Drosophila melanogaster: one gene and its partners. The protein of the gene in region 4 interacts with the protein of the main gene of each other region in a pairwise test. Each region holds a gene or a part of one and is shown on either strand. Other genes may lie near its edges.

Region 1 (3,372 bases), on a different chromosome or scaffold from region 4:
TCAAAGGCTTACAAACACCTAAAAAGATTTCCAATTCTTCAATTATTATGTTGTTATGTTTTAAAACAATCTTATGAAACTCTAATATGAATTTGGCGTTTCAAAAGAAAAGGTTTAAATACGTATTTAATGCATTAAAAGTGCTATATTCTTTGTTTAAAAGAAAAGAGGCCGTAAAATTATAGTTGCTCCATTAATTCATAGTTATGTTATTATTTATTATTCATTCCGGAATCAACAATATGTTGATAAAGATGACCTTTTGATCCCATTCTTTGCAATTAAACGATAACTGGAATAAGATAGCTACCATCACAAGAGTGTGAAATAATTTCATGCATGATAATGCTATCCAATATCTTTCGAATTGTATCTCATAAAATGCGTACCATGTTTATGCATATTTATAGAATAGTTAAAATACTTGTATGACCGTAGAGATTTCAATTACAAACTTATTTATACTCGTTCATAATTTTATGTTCATACTTTATACCATTTTCCCCTTTATTATTTATTTTTGAAGAAAACTAGATATAATTTTTTGTTCTCTCATGCATTCGTATATATTTATATATTCATAAATATGTGCTTAATCTGTGTGCTTCATTGCCACTCAGGTAGCCCCTTCCGGTCGAAAATAATTGATGACAAAACGTTTACGTTTCAAGTATTTTTTTTTCATTTATTTGCGCTCAGTAGTTCGGCAAAGAAAAAAAAAAACAAAAATTTAAATTAAACCAGCTGTCGCAGCTGAGGAGCAACCCATGCCCAGGATGAGCACCTTAGTAGTTGGGCTGGCCATAGGGCGCGGGGCTGTTGTACAGTGGAGCCTCGTTGCCGTAGGCATTGCCATCGGCAGAGGAGGCGGCACCGGCGGCGGAGGAAGCAGCTCCGGCACTACCATAACCCTGGGGCTGGCTGTACTCCCTGGGCTGGCTGTAGACGGGTGCAACCACCGGGGCCAGTGGAGCCTCGATCTTCTTGCCGGGCTTGTAGACCTTCACGTAGACGGGGTTGAGGCTCAGCGGAGTGGGCACCTTGTTGATCACCTCCTGTTGGTAGATGACCGAGGGCTTGATCTTGTAGATCACCGGATTGCCGCGCACCACAGTCGGTGGGCCGCTGTTCACATGGGCTGGTGGTGCACCAGGCTGGTGGACAATGATTGGTGGCAGGGGCTGGGTGGCGATCACCTGGTGATTGTTGTGGCCCGATGGCACCAACAGGGAGCGGAACAGATGCTGGTCAACGAACTGTGGCGACACCACCTTGATCTTGCCCTGACGGATATTGCTGGCCAGATTGGTCTCGGCCAGAGATTCGGCAATATCCTCGGAGTTCTTCAGCTTCTGGTAGTTGGGATCGGCATTGAGGGCCTGAAGTTGGGCCTGGACGCGACCCAAACGACGGGCCTCCTCCGGCGTGGGCTGGATCTCGGCCTGTGAGGCGATCTGATTGGCAGCCTGCTGGTTGCCACCAGACGCCACATTCACGTACTCCTCGAGTCCGGCATTGGGACCGGACAGGTACTGTCCATGTCCATGTCCGTGTCCGTGTCCGCCAGCGGGACCATAGTTAGCGCTCACCAGCTAATGAGGAGGAGGTAAGAGAGAGAGAGAGAGAGTTTGCGAGATTAGCGGGATGCCCAATGCGAATGCCATGGATAAAAGCTACTAACCGGCGTGGCGGCGATGGCCAAAATGCCAAACCAGAGACCGAGTTGCATGTTGCCGTTTACGTGTGGATCGTCTACTGCTCGCTGTCTGGCGATGACTCCGGCTCTTTATAGCGCCTATAATCGCTGCCCGCCATGGCCGGCTACGTGATCCATCTCCATTTCCGATTTTGCGCCGCATCTTTGTCTCGCCATCGTGCCCAGATCTCTAGACAACCAACCTCCTATGCACCTATGCACCGTGGTGCACCACTCTGCTTTCCGCTCGTCGCAATCTTCTATTTTTTGGCAGTTGTTTCCCTTGGCTTGAATCATAGCTCTTCCAAAGATCGAATATGATGCCAACGCTACGAGAGTCTCGTTTTGGTTGCCTTGTTGCGATGATTACAGCTGTGCTGCAATCTCTCTGCAATCCTTTGGGTTTGAAGTTAATATCCTTTATATGTTTTTACATTGCATTTTAACTTGGGACTTATACTGAAATGTGTACATAAACATGCCCTGCAGCAATGTTTTTTTTTAATCACCCAAATTTAAAGATGTTATCTATAAACTGATAAATATCTTACGCTCGAGATATATGAATAGATAATTTTTGTAAAAATTTCCGAGAAAGATATACCATGTAAACCATATTAGCAGATTATATTAGATATATAAGTACATTTATAACCGCATTCAATTCGATGCAGTTTTAAGCTTTAAGTTTGTGTTTATTAGCCATATAATTAAATTCAAAGGTATTAAAGACATTTAAGTTATTCCTCTTAAAAGGCATCTTTATTTTTAAAAATAAAATGCAACATTCTTATATTTTATGATTTTCGGTGGATTGTTTCGTCTCAATGTGAAATACAGTATCTTATATTTAAATCATTTGTTATACCTAAACTTATATAAACATTGTTACTAAAAACCTGAGCAATGAAAGTTAAATTGTTGATTCAATTTAAACTTGTAGAGTAGTGTATTATGAGTCACTGAAATTTTTTTCTTGATAAGCTCTTAATTCAATTCAAACACAACAAATTTTTGTATATATATATATTTTTTTTGTATTAATTTTATTATTTTTTTTAATAATTTCCTTAATCTCAGTGTTTGTGTAGTTCGTGTTGTGTGTAATGTGTTGGCGTGTGTGTATGTGTGGTGTGTGGTGTATGGTGTGGCTCAGTCCCATTTATAGAACTCAATGGTCTGGAGACCGCAAGTCTTTGGTTTGACGTGGACATGGATTTAGCTTCTAGAGACCCCGCTTATAAAGAAGGTAGGTGAGATCTCGTGCTGGTCGACTGCCGTAGTCATTGAAGGGTGATTTGAAGTTGAGCTGACCGCCAAAGGAGTCAAACTCCTCCTCGTGATGTTGTCGATCCTCTCCAGCTGATTTCATTGGCGAGGGATTCGATTGCTCGGCGTGCAGCTGATCTTCGCTAGAGTTGATAATATAACTCTGCGGCTTGTAGTTCTGCTGCCCATAATTCTGAGGCATTGCATACGTGTTTCTGTGCGGTGTGTGCTGTGGGTATTGTGGTTGTGGTTGTGGTTGCGGTTGCAGTTGTGGTTGTGGTGCATAGTGTTGTGCATGCTGTTGGGCATAGTTATAGCGTTGCTGGGCAGGATGCGATTGCTGGGTCTGCTGATGGATGAGATACTGCTGTTTCATGGCCATGGCTCGATTGTCGAAACCCTGACGA
Region 2 (4,457 bases), on a different chromosome or scaffold from region 4:
AAAGTTTTTGCACCGATTTTGACGATAGTCTGGACCGTAGTTTTATGGCGAGCAAGCTGCAATTGGCGGGATTACGGCGTCATTACAGGTAAATTCAGTTGGCGTCCCTTTTTGTCTTTGGCGGCCATTCCGTTATTCGTCTGCGGCAAGACTGGCAACCCTTGTGTTAAGGGAGGATTTTCGGAATCTCATGATCAGCTGTTCGGGGAAATACCATTACTTTAACTGCAGCGTAGTTTGTTCAAACCTATTATTTCAGGATTATTTCATTCAAAACTATTTAACCCGATGATCAGTTCTGTGTTTTCCAAGTAAGGTTTAATAATATCGATAAATGATGAAAATAATAAGTTCTTAAAGAAATTCTAGTCTTTTTGTTAAAAAGTCATATTTTAATAAAAAGCTGCCTTTCCCGTGTATGATTTAAATAAAATATTACCAAGAGTACGATCTGAAATGCAAAAAACCTGTGTGGGAACCATTTAAGTTTACAACCAATTACCAAGCGCTTGCAATTGTTTTGAACATGCTATTTAATCGTTGATTTCCTTTGATGCTTTGTAGAATTACAAAAATAAATATAAAAACTTGTACATATGTAAGTGTTAGTTACCTCTACTGTAGGAAATGCAATACACCTTTTATCGAAATTTTAAAAATATATATATGCCAGATATTTAGTTTCTTGTCTTTTATGCTCTGTGTATGTTAGTTTCTTGTTTTACGTACACCGTTTTCTGGAGGGCGAGGGCAGTTTGTAAAACTATGCTCAACTTAACATATATACGCAAAGGGTGCACATTCATTTGGAATTGCAAATACCATAAAGATCAAATTTTGAGTTCGCTTAAGCTCGCTAGAGTGGCGCAGCCTTCGAGGCAGCTGATTGAACTGATAGATATTAAAGCACATAATCGGGGGGGAAGGCAACCGAATTAGCCACTTACACTAGGTGGCGATGGGACCGTAGCAGAGGGATCGGAATCGTATAATTAAATAAATAACGCTAGAGTACGCCTAATTGGTTTAGATCCATGTGCTAGGTTTTGATTTGTGTGTGTCCGTTTTTGTTACTCCATCGCTTTTGAGTGTATCTTGTGTGGGAGTGTGGAACGAAAGCTGGAGCTTGGGTAATCGAGAGTGTGGGATGGACTGCCCGTAGTTAGTCATCCAGATCTATATCGGAGTCATCCGAGTCGTAGCCTCCACGTATTGTCTTCTGTGGGCGGTTGATGAATGGTTTGCGTTTCACATCTGGTGGCTGCATCAGATCGCCCTTGTAGTCAATGGCCCCCGAGTGGGCGATGCGCCACTCCAGCATTTCGGTGGCGAAGTCGTCGCAGTTGCCCAGATCGGTGAATCCGACAATGAAGTCCTTGGTCTTGCTGTCCTTCACCAGGGCGATGGTGGGTATCACCTTGATGCGCAGTCGCTGGGTGAGGAATGGAGTCTTTTCGGCATTCACCTTGCAAAACTTGGCCTCCACGTGCTTGGCCGCGAGGATCTTCAGGTGCATGTCCACGATCTTGCAGCGCTCGGTGCTGTCGCGGTAAAAGTGGCAAACAATGTTGGGCGACTTTTTCGACATCTCGAAGAACTCTTTTTCGTCGGCCAGCTCGGTGTAGGTGCCATGACCCTGGAAAAGATTAGCAATTTTGGGGATTAATGAGATTGTTGCGCTAACAAGGTTTTCTTTGAAAGTTAATTTTTACATATATATTTAAGTTTTGAGCTATTTAAGCTGGTAGCCCAATTTGAAAACTAATTTGAATTAATCGAAGCAAGTGTCGCGAATGTCTTAAAAGTCGCATGTTGAATACCATTTGGTCATATACCACTTAGAGAACAATCTCGAAGTATCTTCAATAATTGAGTGTTGTAAGAGATGATCACCTACGTTTCTGAGCCACTCCTGCTTCTTGTTGTTCAGGTCCTTCATTTCGCGGAGCCGCTGCTCCCGCAGGACCTTTAGGTCATCCGAATCGAGGTTGTCCAGGCGGTCGAGCTGCTGGTCCAGCTGCTGCTCGATGGTCTTGGCGGCCGTGAACAGTTGGTTCTCCAGGATGTTGGCCATGTTGTCCTCTTCCAGTTGCTGCTCCTCTGCGTGTCTTGATGTTTCTCCGTTATTTGCACTCTGCGTGTGGTGTGTTCGTGTTGGCGTCAATGGTTGCGCGTGTGTGCGTGTGGATCCGGCACAAATGGAAAGGCGTAGTCATGGAGCCGCAGATGCGTCATGTTTTGTGGAAAATTCAGTTAAGTAAGGCATGTTTTGGGGAAAGCGCAGCGCATTTCGATGGAGGCGCCCACAAATCGATTATTTAGACGGTACTCACCTTTTATTTTCACTTATTTCATTGATTTTACTCCTTAAAAGTTTATTTAGACGTATGGATTCGTGTGACCGTTTGACTTTACATTGGAAAATACAAAAGGCTCCTTAATGTTCAAAATACCATGACAGTATTATTTCCCGTCAGCTGTTTCTTTACGAACCCCTGGCCACACTGCCGCCCTTTGATGGTTATTCCGATAGTGCAATATATTTAGTTGATCAAAGGTGAATTAAAGATGAAGCCAGCCTTGACAACGGTCAATGCCACTGGCAAACACACAGCCTCCGTGATATTCTTCCACGGATCCGGCGACACCGGCCCCAATGTTCTGGAATGGGTGCGCTTCCTTATCGGCCGGAATCTGGAGTACCCGCACATAAAGATAATATATCCCACGGCTCCCAAACAGAAGTACACCCCGCTGGACGGGGAACTATCCAACGTGTGGTTTGACCGCAAGTCCGTGAACATTGCCGCATCGGAAAGCAAGAAGAGCATGTCCCAGTGTTATGATGCGGTCAATCAGCTGATCGACGAGGAGGTGGCCAGCGGCATACCGCTGAACAGGATCGTTGTGGGCGGATTCTCGATGGGCGGAGCCTTGGCTCTGCACACGGGCTACCATTTGAGACGCAGCTTGGCCGGCGTATTCGCACATTCCTCGTTCCTGAACCGCGGCTCCGTTGTCTATGATTCCCTGGCCAACGGCAAAGACGAATCTTTTCCCGAGCTGCGAATGTATCACGGGGAACGCGATACTCTGGTACCTAAGGACTGGGGTCTGGAAACCTTCGAGAACCTAACGAAACTGGGTGTCAAGGGCACATTTCATCCATTGAGGAACACACTGCACGAACTGAAAACTGCCTCCATCACGGATCTGCAGCAATGGATTTATGAAAAACTACCTCCGCTGGAAAACCAAGTACAGAACAAACTCTGAGTGGCAAGTACTTACATATACTTAGGTAAACTTTAATAGTAATTTATTTATTCTTCTATTTCAGTATTTGGCATGAAACCCGTGCATTTTGAAGCACCACAGAGGCAAGTCTTTCCACCTGTCATCTTTTTATACTGCCCTTCTCCGCCATAATGAAAGCATAACTCCTCCTTGGCCGCAATATCCCTTGCTGCGAAAATACCTAAAAAATTACACATGACGAGAGAAGTCGGATCAGAATTAGCAATAAAACTTGCCTATTTTTGGTATGGGACAGTCTATTCGTACAGCTGCTATATGACAGTTCGGTTCGCAGCTGTGGTTCAGGTAGCGTCCGATGTTTCCACGTCTTGATGGATCAACGATGGTCACCTGTTGCTTCTTGTCGCTAGTGTATTCATTAAGCACCAGGATATAGTTCATCAGGCCTAGTTTTTCATTATCATGCAAGCGGCTTCTTGCCTCGGGAACCGTTAAAAGTTCTCCGGCATATTCGCAAATGTATCCTCCTTTTGTAATTTTCGCTGTAGTCCGTAGTCCTTTGGATCCGTACACGGGCGAATCGAATATTTCCAAATGTTTCCTCGGGCCTGAGTACACAAGCCGATTGGAGCACGTGTTTCTACAGCATTTGCACATGTCATTGCACTCAATGACAGGATTTGCGGAATTCCGAAGAATTAATTCGCTGCCATCTTCTGTGAACTCATATTGGCCTCCATGTGCACAGACTTCGCTGTTTTCGCAGGCTCCTTTGCAGTGACAGGGGTTCAAAAGAACAGAATTGTACTCGTCCGCCAAGAATTTGAATTCTTTACTTCCATCGCTGGGCATCAACACAGATTCCAATATGTAATCGAGTCCATCTGGGTGCTCATAGTCGTCATTCGGAGCTGTTTCAGATTCGTCCATTTTTAAAGTTTGTTTACATTACATTCTAGTACGAGAATTGATTCCCCATTTAATGGATGTTGCGCTTTCTGAAGAATATTACACTTTATTGCCTCGGTCACACTCTGAATTTAAAAATGTTCCCTTATTCGGAAGAAAATTGTTTATTTTTTATGATGCAACACATTTGTATATCCTTGCAGTTCCAGTTCGACCGTTTTGCTGTAAGCGTTACCAGACTTTTTGTAGAAAGTATCTGCCTTGTGATGAGCGCCCATATTTCAGATTTC
Region 3 (5,439 bases), 450 kb from region 4:
AAACAAAAAATTATGATAATTCTTGGTTTTTAAAATTAAATTTTTTTAATTAAATACCTATAAATATGTAATATTTAGACTAACATATTTGTATGTCATTTGCATATGCAATTTGACCCTTTGTCATGGGTATTTAATGTTATTGATTTTAAAAGACAGAAAAAGTACGTACATGTATTGGTTTTCTGTGCGGATGTTCAGAACGGTATCCAAAGGAACTGGTAAAAGTGAACAGTGCCAGGAAAACGACGGTCAGTTGAAAATTATGCATATTAGTGACTTATGTAAACTTAGTGTGAACTGCTCCGCCGAGTGCCAAAAAATGAACTAAACTTTAAAATTTCGCTTGCCTTCTGCGGAGCGAGATTAGTACCCTTTATATGAAAGCTTTTCGGGTATATCCAATAAGGAGGAAAATATGTAACCAGTGTATTTATTTTTAATTTAATTGGCTTTATAAAAGTAAGAAGTAATTGTACAATTATTTCTTACTTTTTTATAAAAAAAGAAAGGTGAGTAAAGGATTTAAATACACTTTTAAACGTTAAGCTCGTCGAGTTCATTTTATGAATTTATTGAGTGGTATGTTTTGGTTGACTTACAACTTTTTTCTCATTCTAAAAAATATGAGGATTACAAATCAGTTGATCTCAGTCGTTTTATTAGTCCGCGAACATTTTACATATTTTAAATATTACATATTATATATGTATGTATGTATGCTTAACAGGCCTCCAATGATTTAGTAGTAAATATGACTCAATCACTTTTGTGTGTCATTCCAAACGTTTCCTGTAACTAATGATAATGGTTAATACAAAAATAATTTTTTAAAAAGAAATAATTTCCCTTATATAGTGATGAACAAACTATTTTAATGTAAATAAACAAAAAATTGCTGTGGTTGTCCAAACTTAAAACTCCAAACACAAAACGAAAGGTATTGAAAAACAAAGGGGTTGTCATACCAATACTTCACGGATTTGATCAGTTTATAAAACTGCAAGTTTCCGGTTTTTTTGCATTGTATTGTTATTATGAAAAGTTATACAGTTTTAGAGCATTACAAAAACTCTGCCTTTACAACAGCTATTGAAAGCTCCTCCGTGTGGAGGAAGTGTTTGGCCAAAATATATGTTTGATATCACGATTTATTAAAGCGTGCGTTTTATCTATTGGATTGATTAACCACACAGAAACTCTGTATGGGAATAGATACATATATGACAAGTACTGAAAAAGGAAACGCTGATACGACTGGTTGGTATCAGCGTTTTCTTTTCCAGTACTCGTAAAGTATTCGTATAAATCTTCTTAACTATTACAGTTAGACGTAATATATATCTCGTACTTGTAAAGTACCCTCTTTTGATGAAACCTAGATAGTCAACTTTAAGTAAGCACAATTGACATTTGCTTACATTTATAGTGAGTCCTGCATTCCGTACCTAAATGGTCCAGTTATTCTTTTAAGCTTGAGGACATTACCAACAAATAATTATTATAATTATTATTATAAATTTATTTCATGTTATTACATTTTTTAATTCAAGTAATTTAACAATTTTACAAGCGATTTTGAAAGGATAAGTGATTTTGTGTGGATTCAAACTATTCAAAATCACATTCAACAATGGCTTCTTCGGCTTCAAAATTTCGCCTAGAGGTAGAACGTCGATAGTACTTTATGCCAATGATTGTGGCGGCCACACCAATGATCATTCCAGCGCAGGAGCCTACGATAATCATCCACTTGTTAGACGATCCAGTTCGGTCAGGAATCCGTACCTCAGCCTCTGATCTTGCCCCCTGCTCTGGCAAAATATGACAAACGTATCGCGAATTCTCCCCGCTGTAATCCATGTCACTATCCTCTTGGCACACCAGTTGACCACTCGATAAATCGCATTGGCAATTGTCCAAATTGAGGCACGGCTTGTCCTGGGGATCAACACAGATCTTGGCACACTTGGCTGTATTGAAAGTACCCATCCCATCGTATTCAATCCAGCACATGCAACCGGCAGTGCAATTTGAGTGCGGAACCTCGCTGGTTGATGTCTGCAGTTGAGGGTCTACAGTTGATGATTGCAACTCCACAGTTGTGGTGCTGTATTCATAGGAGTCCGTCGTGGTTTGTAACTCGCATAGTCCGTTAATATTCTCATAGCCCACGTTGCACTCGCACACATTCGGTGCCACACAGTCTCCGAATTGGCAGCCTTTGCAGATCGGCTGACACATAGAAGTGACAGGATTTGTGCTATTGAGCTGATAGCCATCGTGGCATATACAAAAATTGGGTGCCACACAGTGTCCGTTGCTGCAGCCACTGTCGCAAATAGGATCGCATTCGTGATGGGAGTTGTCCTTGAAGCGATAACCCGGATCGCAGGTACAGGTTTCTGGACTGGTGCACTTGCCATGAACACAGTTTAGGCTGCATTTTGGCTCACAGACTTGATTGGGACCCATTTGATAGCCAATACTGCAAACACAAGTCTCCGGTGCAAAGCAAAAGCCGTTGGTACATCCCTTGCTGCACTTGGGTACGCACTTCTTGTCCGCCCCCGACGACTCATAGCCCGGAAAGCACTCGCATTGGTTGGGCGCCACGCAGTGTGCGTTATCCGAGCACTTTTCGCAATGCGGCTGGCAGAGATCATTTCTCATTACGTAGCCCGGCTTGCAGACACAAACGCCGGGACTCAAGCATAATCCGTTCTCCGGGCAAGTGGAGCACACGGGTCGGCAATTGGTGCCTCCGTCGTCACCGGCATATCCATTTTCACACTCGCACACACCTGGCCTCACACATCGGCTGTTTTGGCCACAATCCTTTGGGCAAATGGGCGAGCAATTGCCATTTGAATTGTTCTTGTATCCATCTGGAAAGACGGTGCCGTTTCCCACTTTCTCGTACCCAGGTTCACATTCGCATTTCCCGGGCTCCGAGCAAAAGCTATGGTGTCCACATTCCTTTTCGCAAACTGGAAGGCAATTGTCGCTGGGAGAAGTTCGTTTGTAGCCATTTTGGCAGCTACAGACTCCGGGGCGATCGCAAAACTCGTTTTTTCCACATACCGTTGGGCAAACGGGATGGCAGTCGATACCGCCGTAGCCCGCATTGCAACTGCAAGTATTGGGGGACGAGCAGAATCCATGTTGAGGACACTGTTGTCTGCAGACAGGTTTGCAGTTCTCAACGGATCCTTCGTAGCCCTCACAGCAACTGGGTCTCATTACGGTCCTGTAGGCAGTCTAGAGAACAGGAGAAAAAGCCTCTTTAAAGGAAACTTTAACTACACACTTACCAAAGCTATAAATAATAATATAAATTATGTACAAATTCGAATTACCTCATCTTCATAGACATATTGATGCCTGTACTTAGTAACCCAACCATGAAAGTATGAATACTGTTGAAACGGAACCAATTTACTTTTAAGAACCTTACGGTTATACGGAACGCTTTCCGGGTGACTGCAATCATTTAGGCCATGCCGTAAAATGGCGAAACTTGTGCCAAAGGACAATGACAGACACACAAAATGCAGTGAAAATGCAGTAAAATCCATGAGTAATGCGAGTCAATTCGTTTCCTGAAGTATATACCATATATATATTCACTATCTTAAAGCAACCAGTCTGTCCGATGAATTAAACAGAACTGGACCCTCAATTAATGTAATGTTCTTTTCTCTTGGATTTTTAATGAATTCCAGATAACGAGCACACTATATCTTCGTTTGCTTTGTACATAGGAATCTTTTAGTATTTTATAATTATTTGTATTATTAGCTTTAGGGAGACTAGTTCCGTTCCCCATTTATATTTTACTCAAAGTTTTGTATTTACCTCTTCGTCTGTATAATACTCGGTGCGGTATTTTGTCTGCCAACCACTCCAGAAAGATCTATGCTGGTATGGTATCACTCTACTCCTTTCGACATATCTCTTGTAAGTAACCACCTGCGATCGGTTACAAACATTCAAGCCGATGGGTTGAATGAAGTCGACGAGTAGCATAAAAAAACCCAGACACACCCAAAGGCATTGGATGTGTGACATTATGGAAAGAGCAGAAATCTTGTAAAATTCAGCTTTGATCTCTATGTAAATGAGTTCGGCGCAACGTTTCAAATTCAACTGAGCTGCAAATGTAAATTTATATATTTCATGTTGCTCCAAAATCAGCTACATCCGTTGAGGACTCGACAATCTAGACCTATACATATAAACCGCTTGGGATTATCTGAGCATTTGTTTATCCCAATATTGCAAGCAAAATATGTAAGACAGAAGCAAACGCTATAATGTTTCCTTCAACTACTGTATATATTTCATCAGCCATTCAAATATGCCCTAGGTTACTAAAGATACTTAAATTTATTCTAAATGGTTAATTTCATTGCGGCTAGTCGAGTTGCAACATCAAATGTTATTGCTTTTTTCTACAAAGAACAAGACCGTAAATAAATAATAATTGCTTGATATGACGATTGACGACCGCCTGCAATAATGATTAGCTCTTATCATTTATATGTTAGAACTGTTTATGGTGAAAGTGTGAGTAGTTTACTCTCCCAGAGCACTCACTCAGGTATCTCGGTGATTCCACACTGTTGAATACCTCTCCCAAATTCAATGAGCAGCTACAAATAGAGCAGAGTATCTGATTCCACAACAGACGCCGTTTAGAACTCGTCGCGCGTGGACGTAGATTTTAGAGCGATCGAAAATGGTTCTGATTACTTTGACCCTGGTTTCGTTGGTGGTGGGCCTGCTGTATGCCGTGCTGGTATGGAACTATGACTATTGGAGGAAACGGGGCGTTCCTGGTCCCAAGCCAAAGCTATTGTGCGGAAACTATCCAAACATGTTTACTATGAAGCGGCATGCAATCTACGATCTAGACGATATATACAGGTGAGTTATCCCAGCTAGAAAGGTTATATTAACTACCAAAATTCAATGGATCATCAACTGTTTCACAAAGAAACCAAGAACCATTCTTAAAACGCATTTAAAAAATTACGCTTTACTTGAATTTAATGCGATCATTTTATTCAGGCAGTATAAGAACAAGTACGATGCTGTGGGCATTTTTGGCAGCCGCTCTCCACAGCTGCTGGTGATCAATCCCGCGTTGGCGCGTCGAGTCTTTGTGTCCAACTTTAAGAACTTCCACGACAATGAGATCGCCAAGAATATTGACGAGAAAACCGATTTCATTTTCGCCAACAATCCGTTCTCGTTAACTGGCGAAAAGTGGAAAACTCGAAGGGCGGACGTAACGCCTGGTCTTACGATGGGACGGGTGAGGCAGTTCATCCAGTGGCAAGCCCGAAAAGTACTGATCCAACCAATATACATAATTACAGATAAAGACAGTCTATCCGGTGACAAACAAGGTGTGCCAAAAGTTGACCGAGTGGG
Region 4 (3,095 bases):
AAATGCGAAAACGACCGCCCAATTTACATACAATGCACATCAATCGAATGGGCTACAACTACAGTCCTGTCACTGCCACCGGGCACCTTTGTGGCATCATCGGTTTTCCCCATCGCCTCCTATTTTTTTTTGTTGTTGCTGTCCTGTATTTACCCTTTTACCCAGCCTTTTGGGCCCGGCAATCAAGCGTACTTGTTGTACGACTCCAGCAACTGGCCAACCGGCCAAAACGACCGACCAACCGACCAACAACTTTAGCGGCCATGACACAAAGATTGACAGCATGTCGTCGCTGTTTGGAAGCCTGATTGACATGAGTAATCAAGCAGCCGAAATGTGCCCACAAAACGCAGCCAGCAATGACACTGACAACGAAACCAGCCAACCAAACCACGCAGCCTTTCGTTTGCCCCTTTGACTGACAACGATGAGTCGACAGCGACGGCAACTGGCAACTTGCAACTTGCGACTCTCAACTTGCGGCAGCAACATTGCGGCTCTGTGCCACGTTCAGACCACTGCCATAAGGGCAATTTCGATGATGAAAGAAGGGGGCTTTCACTGCTCCCAGATCTCGACTTTTGGATGCATAAGCCCAGTTACCATAATCAGTATCAATTAAACCACAACTGTTGCATAAAGTTATCTAAACACAGCAGAAGGAGCATAATTTAAGGCATTGAGGGTACATAGAGGGTACCAAAAGTAAAAATAGTAATAAATACTAATAAATACTTAGCATCATATAACTGATGGTCCTTGAATCTGTTAGCCATGTTCTTCTATCCCTTCTTTCTGAACATTCTCATCCAATTATTACATTCCCAGCTAATTCACGCATCAAATGCAAATTGCATTCAAGTATGTTCCATCCAGCCACGTAGCTCTTCTTGCCAGACTTGAGCACTTTCAAAAATCCGTATCCTTTGCGGATTACAAAACAGAACCAATATCCCCATTGTCAACTCGAATGTGGCCTTTGATGAAGGCGACACGACATTGACAGACGGTAGCCGATTGACTGCTGACAGGCGGACTGGCGGGACAACAGTCCACCGAAAGTTGGGATCCCGATCGGGATCGGGAAACGGGACTGGGATTGGGATGGGATGGGATTGGAATTGGGATTGAGGAGAGCAGACAAGCCTTTCCGATCTGGCCAAAATGAAGAAGCCGCTGCCGAGGGAGAACTGCAAACTGCAATTCTGATGACTTTTTGTCAGGCCTGATTGACGTCAACGACTCGAAGACGTTTGTCAGGCATATAAATCTTTTGGCTCGTTTGTTTCTTGGCTATGCCCACATATACCAATCCCAATCCAAATCCGACTCCAAGCCGGGGGATTATAATGGCCGACAACGACAGCGATGCGATGCATAAACAATGCCACTTTAAATTGGCAATTGTTGCGACAGTAAATTTTACAATGAATTACTACACTGCCATTCTTTTCTTTCCTCATTTTTATGTTTATTTATTTTTTTTTTTTACGGATTTTCGAAACAACAGCTAAATAAAAGGGTCGAACTGGCAGTCGAATATAATTGCACGTCTCTGGGGCGAAAGTACGACCTGATCTTGAACTGCAAATTGGGGCGTAACTAAAGACCGATTTACCAATTCTTTTTTGAAAGTTTAACCTATGGGTTCGATTTATTCCAACTATAAAAAGGCCGGGTTAAAGGTGTTTTAGGTACAGTTCACTTTGGTCTGGAGATCAGACAACAGTAGTCTAGCTAAGATTAACTCATAAACTAGCTGCGGTACCATGGCTCAAAAGGTGAGTTCAGCAAAAAAGGATAACAACTAAAGCAAATTATTATTCACCTCGATTTTCCTTAGTTTTTCATCGCCTTTGCCCTCTTGGCCATTGCGGCTATTCGGGCAGCTCCTTTCCATGGCCACGAACACCACGGTCATCACGGTGGAGCCACCAGTCATGCCTCCGTGCATCTAACATCGCACGACGATCATCACGAGGAACATCACGGTCATCATCACGACCATCACGGGCATGATGATCACCATGACTCCCATGCTGAGTATGACTTCCAGTACGGCGTCAAGGATCAAAAGACTGGGGATGTGAAGTCACAGAGTGAGTCACGACATGGCCACACGGTTACCGGACACTATGAGTTGATCGATGCCGATGGCCACAAGCGAACTGTCCACTACACGGCGGACAAGCACAAGGGATTCGAGGCTCATGTCCATCGCGAGAAGCTCCACGATCACCACCAGGCGGAGCACCATGGCCATGGACACAGCGGCTACGAGGGCGGACACGTTGAGTTCGAGGAGCACTCCTCGCAATCCGGACACGACTATGGCCACGGACACGAGGAGCACGGTCACGGTCATGGTCATGGACATGGTCACGGAAGCAGCTCCCACAGCTATTCGCTGAAACAGGAACACGGACATGGGCACGGCCACAGCCACGGTCAGGATCATGGTTTCGAGCACGGACACGGTTACCATTGAGTTGACCCCTAAGCTATACAATTGTTTATCAATCGTTTATTGAACTCTTACCAAATACCTATTGTTGTTATACCAAAATAAATCAGGCAAATATTTTCAAAATTGAAATAATTATTTGATTTGAAATGGACAAGAAGTGTAACTAAAGTTTCCCTAAAACCTATTAAAATCGAATTATAAAGTTTCTATACTTACCAACGAACTATTAACTTAAAAAAGAAACAAATCACAGTAGATAGCTCTTTTCGATACATTTGGAATATTTAAACATTTCAAATTATTAGTGAAATTTTAGCATATTTAGCATATGGTGATTTATGAATTGAATAGGCAGGCATTCGCGACTCAACACCAAGACGAGAATCGCATAGACCGTAATTTGGGTCAGAATCAGTAATGTGCGACACGACAGGCGAGATATATCACAAATTCGATTATTATAAATCATATTTGTACAGTTTATCCATAAATTAGCCCGCATATCTATCTATTCGCTGGCTATTTCAGGTGGCTGAAACTTGTATTTTTTATGCAAGCATACACACATATTGTATATATGCGTGCACATGGCGATTTTTTATGGGCGATTTCTTTTCACTTCTAGTGG

Evidence for each region.
Region 1: the proteins of Cpr35B (region 4) and Cp36 interact in a two-hybrid assay, tested with the Drosophila melanogaster proteins (one large-scale study listed by BioGRID).
Region 2: the proteins of Cpr35B (region 4) and CG4511 interact in a two-hybrid assay, tested with the Drosophila melanogaster proteins (one large-scale study listed by BioGRID).
Region 3: the proteins of Cpr35B (region 4) and NimC1 interact in a two-hybrid assay, tested with the Drosophila melanogaster proteins (one large-scale study listed by BioGRID).

The regions. Positions count from the first base shown.
Region 1 is NC_004354.4:8,477,714-8,481,085, reverse strand, and holds Cp36 (chorion protein 36), read right to left. Parts: upstream 1,768-3,372; 5' UTR 1,730-1,767; coding exon 1,682-1,729; intron 1,593-1,681; coding exon 786-1,592; 3' UTR 563-785; downstream 1-562. Other genes in the region: Cp7Fc (chorion protein c at 7F), read right to left, coding at 2,922-3,372.
Region 2 is NT_033777.3:10,852,473-10,856,929, reverse strand, and holds CG4511 (uncharacterized protein), read right to left. Parts: upstream 2,430-4,457; 5' UTR 2,334-2,429; intron 2,186-2,333; exon of another isoform or gene 2,135-2,185; 5' UTR 2,075-2,134; coding exon 1,898-2,074; intron 1,637-1,897; coding exon 1,163-1,636; 3' UTR 518-1,162; downstream 1-517. Other genes in the region: CG6567 (uncharacterized protein), read left to right, coding at 2,569-3,276; CG4565 (uncharacterized protein), read right to left, coding at 3,324-3,478, 3,534-4,188. UniProt on the Drosophila melanogaster protein: Has redox activity with thioredoxin. Required for male fertility and maturation of sperm past the canoe stage during spermiogenesis.
Region 3 is NT_033779.5:13,972,619-13,978,057, forward strand, and holds NimC1 (nimrod C1), read right to left. Parts: upstream 3,637-5,439; 5' UTR 3,579-3,636; coding exon 3,360-3,578; intron 3,262-3,359; coding exon 1,612-3,261; 3' UTR 540-1,611; downstream 1-539. Other genes in the region: He (hemese), read right to left, coding at 173-271; Cyp28a5 (cytochrome P450 28a5), read left to right, coding at 4,742-4,929, 5,074-5,320, 5,385-5,439.
Region 4 is NT_033779.5:14,423,806-14,426,900, reverse strand, and holds Cpr35B (cuticular protein 35B), read left to right. Parts: upstream 1-1,711; 5' UTR 1,712-1,769; coding exon 1,770-1,781; intron 1,782-1,843; coding exon 1,844-2,488; 3' UTR 2,489-2,586; downstream 2,587-3,095.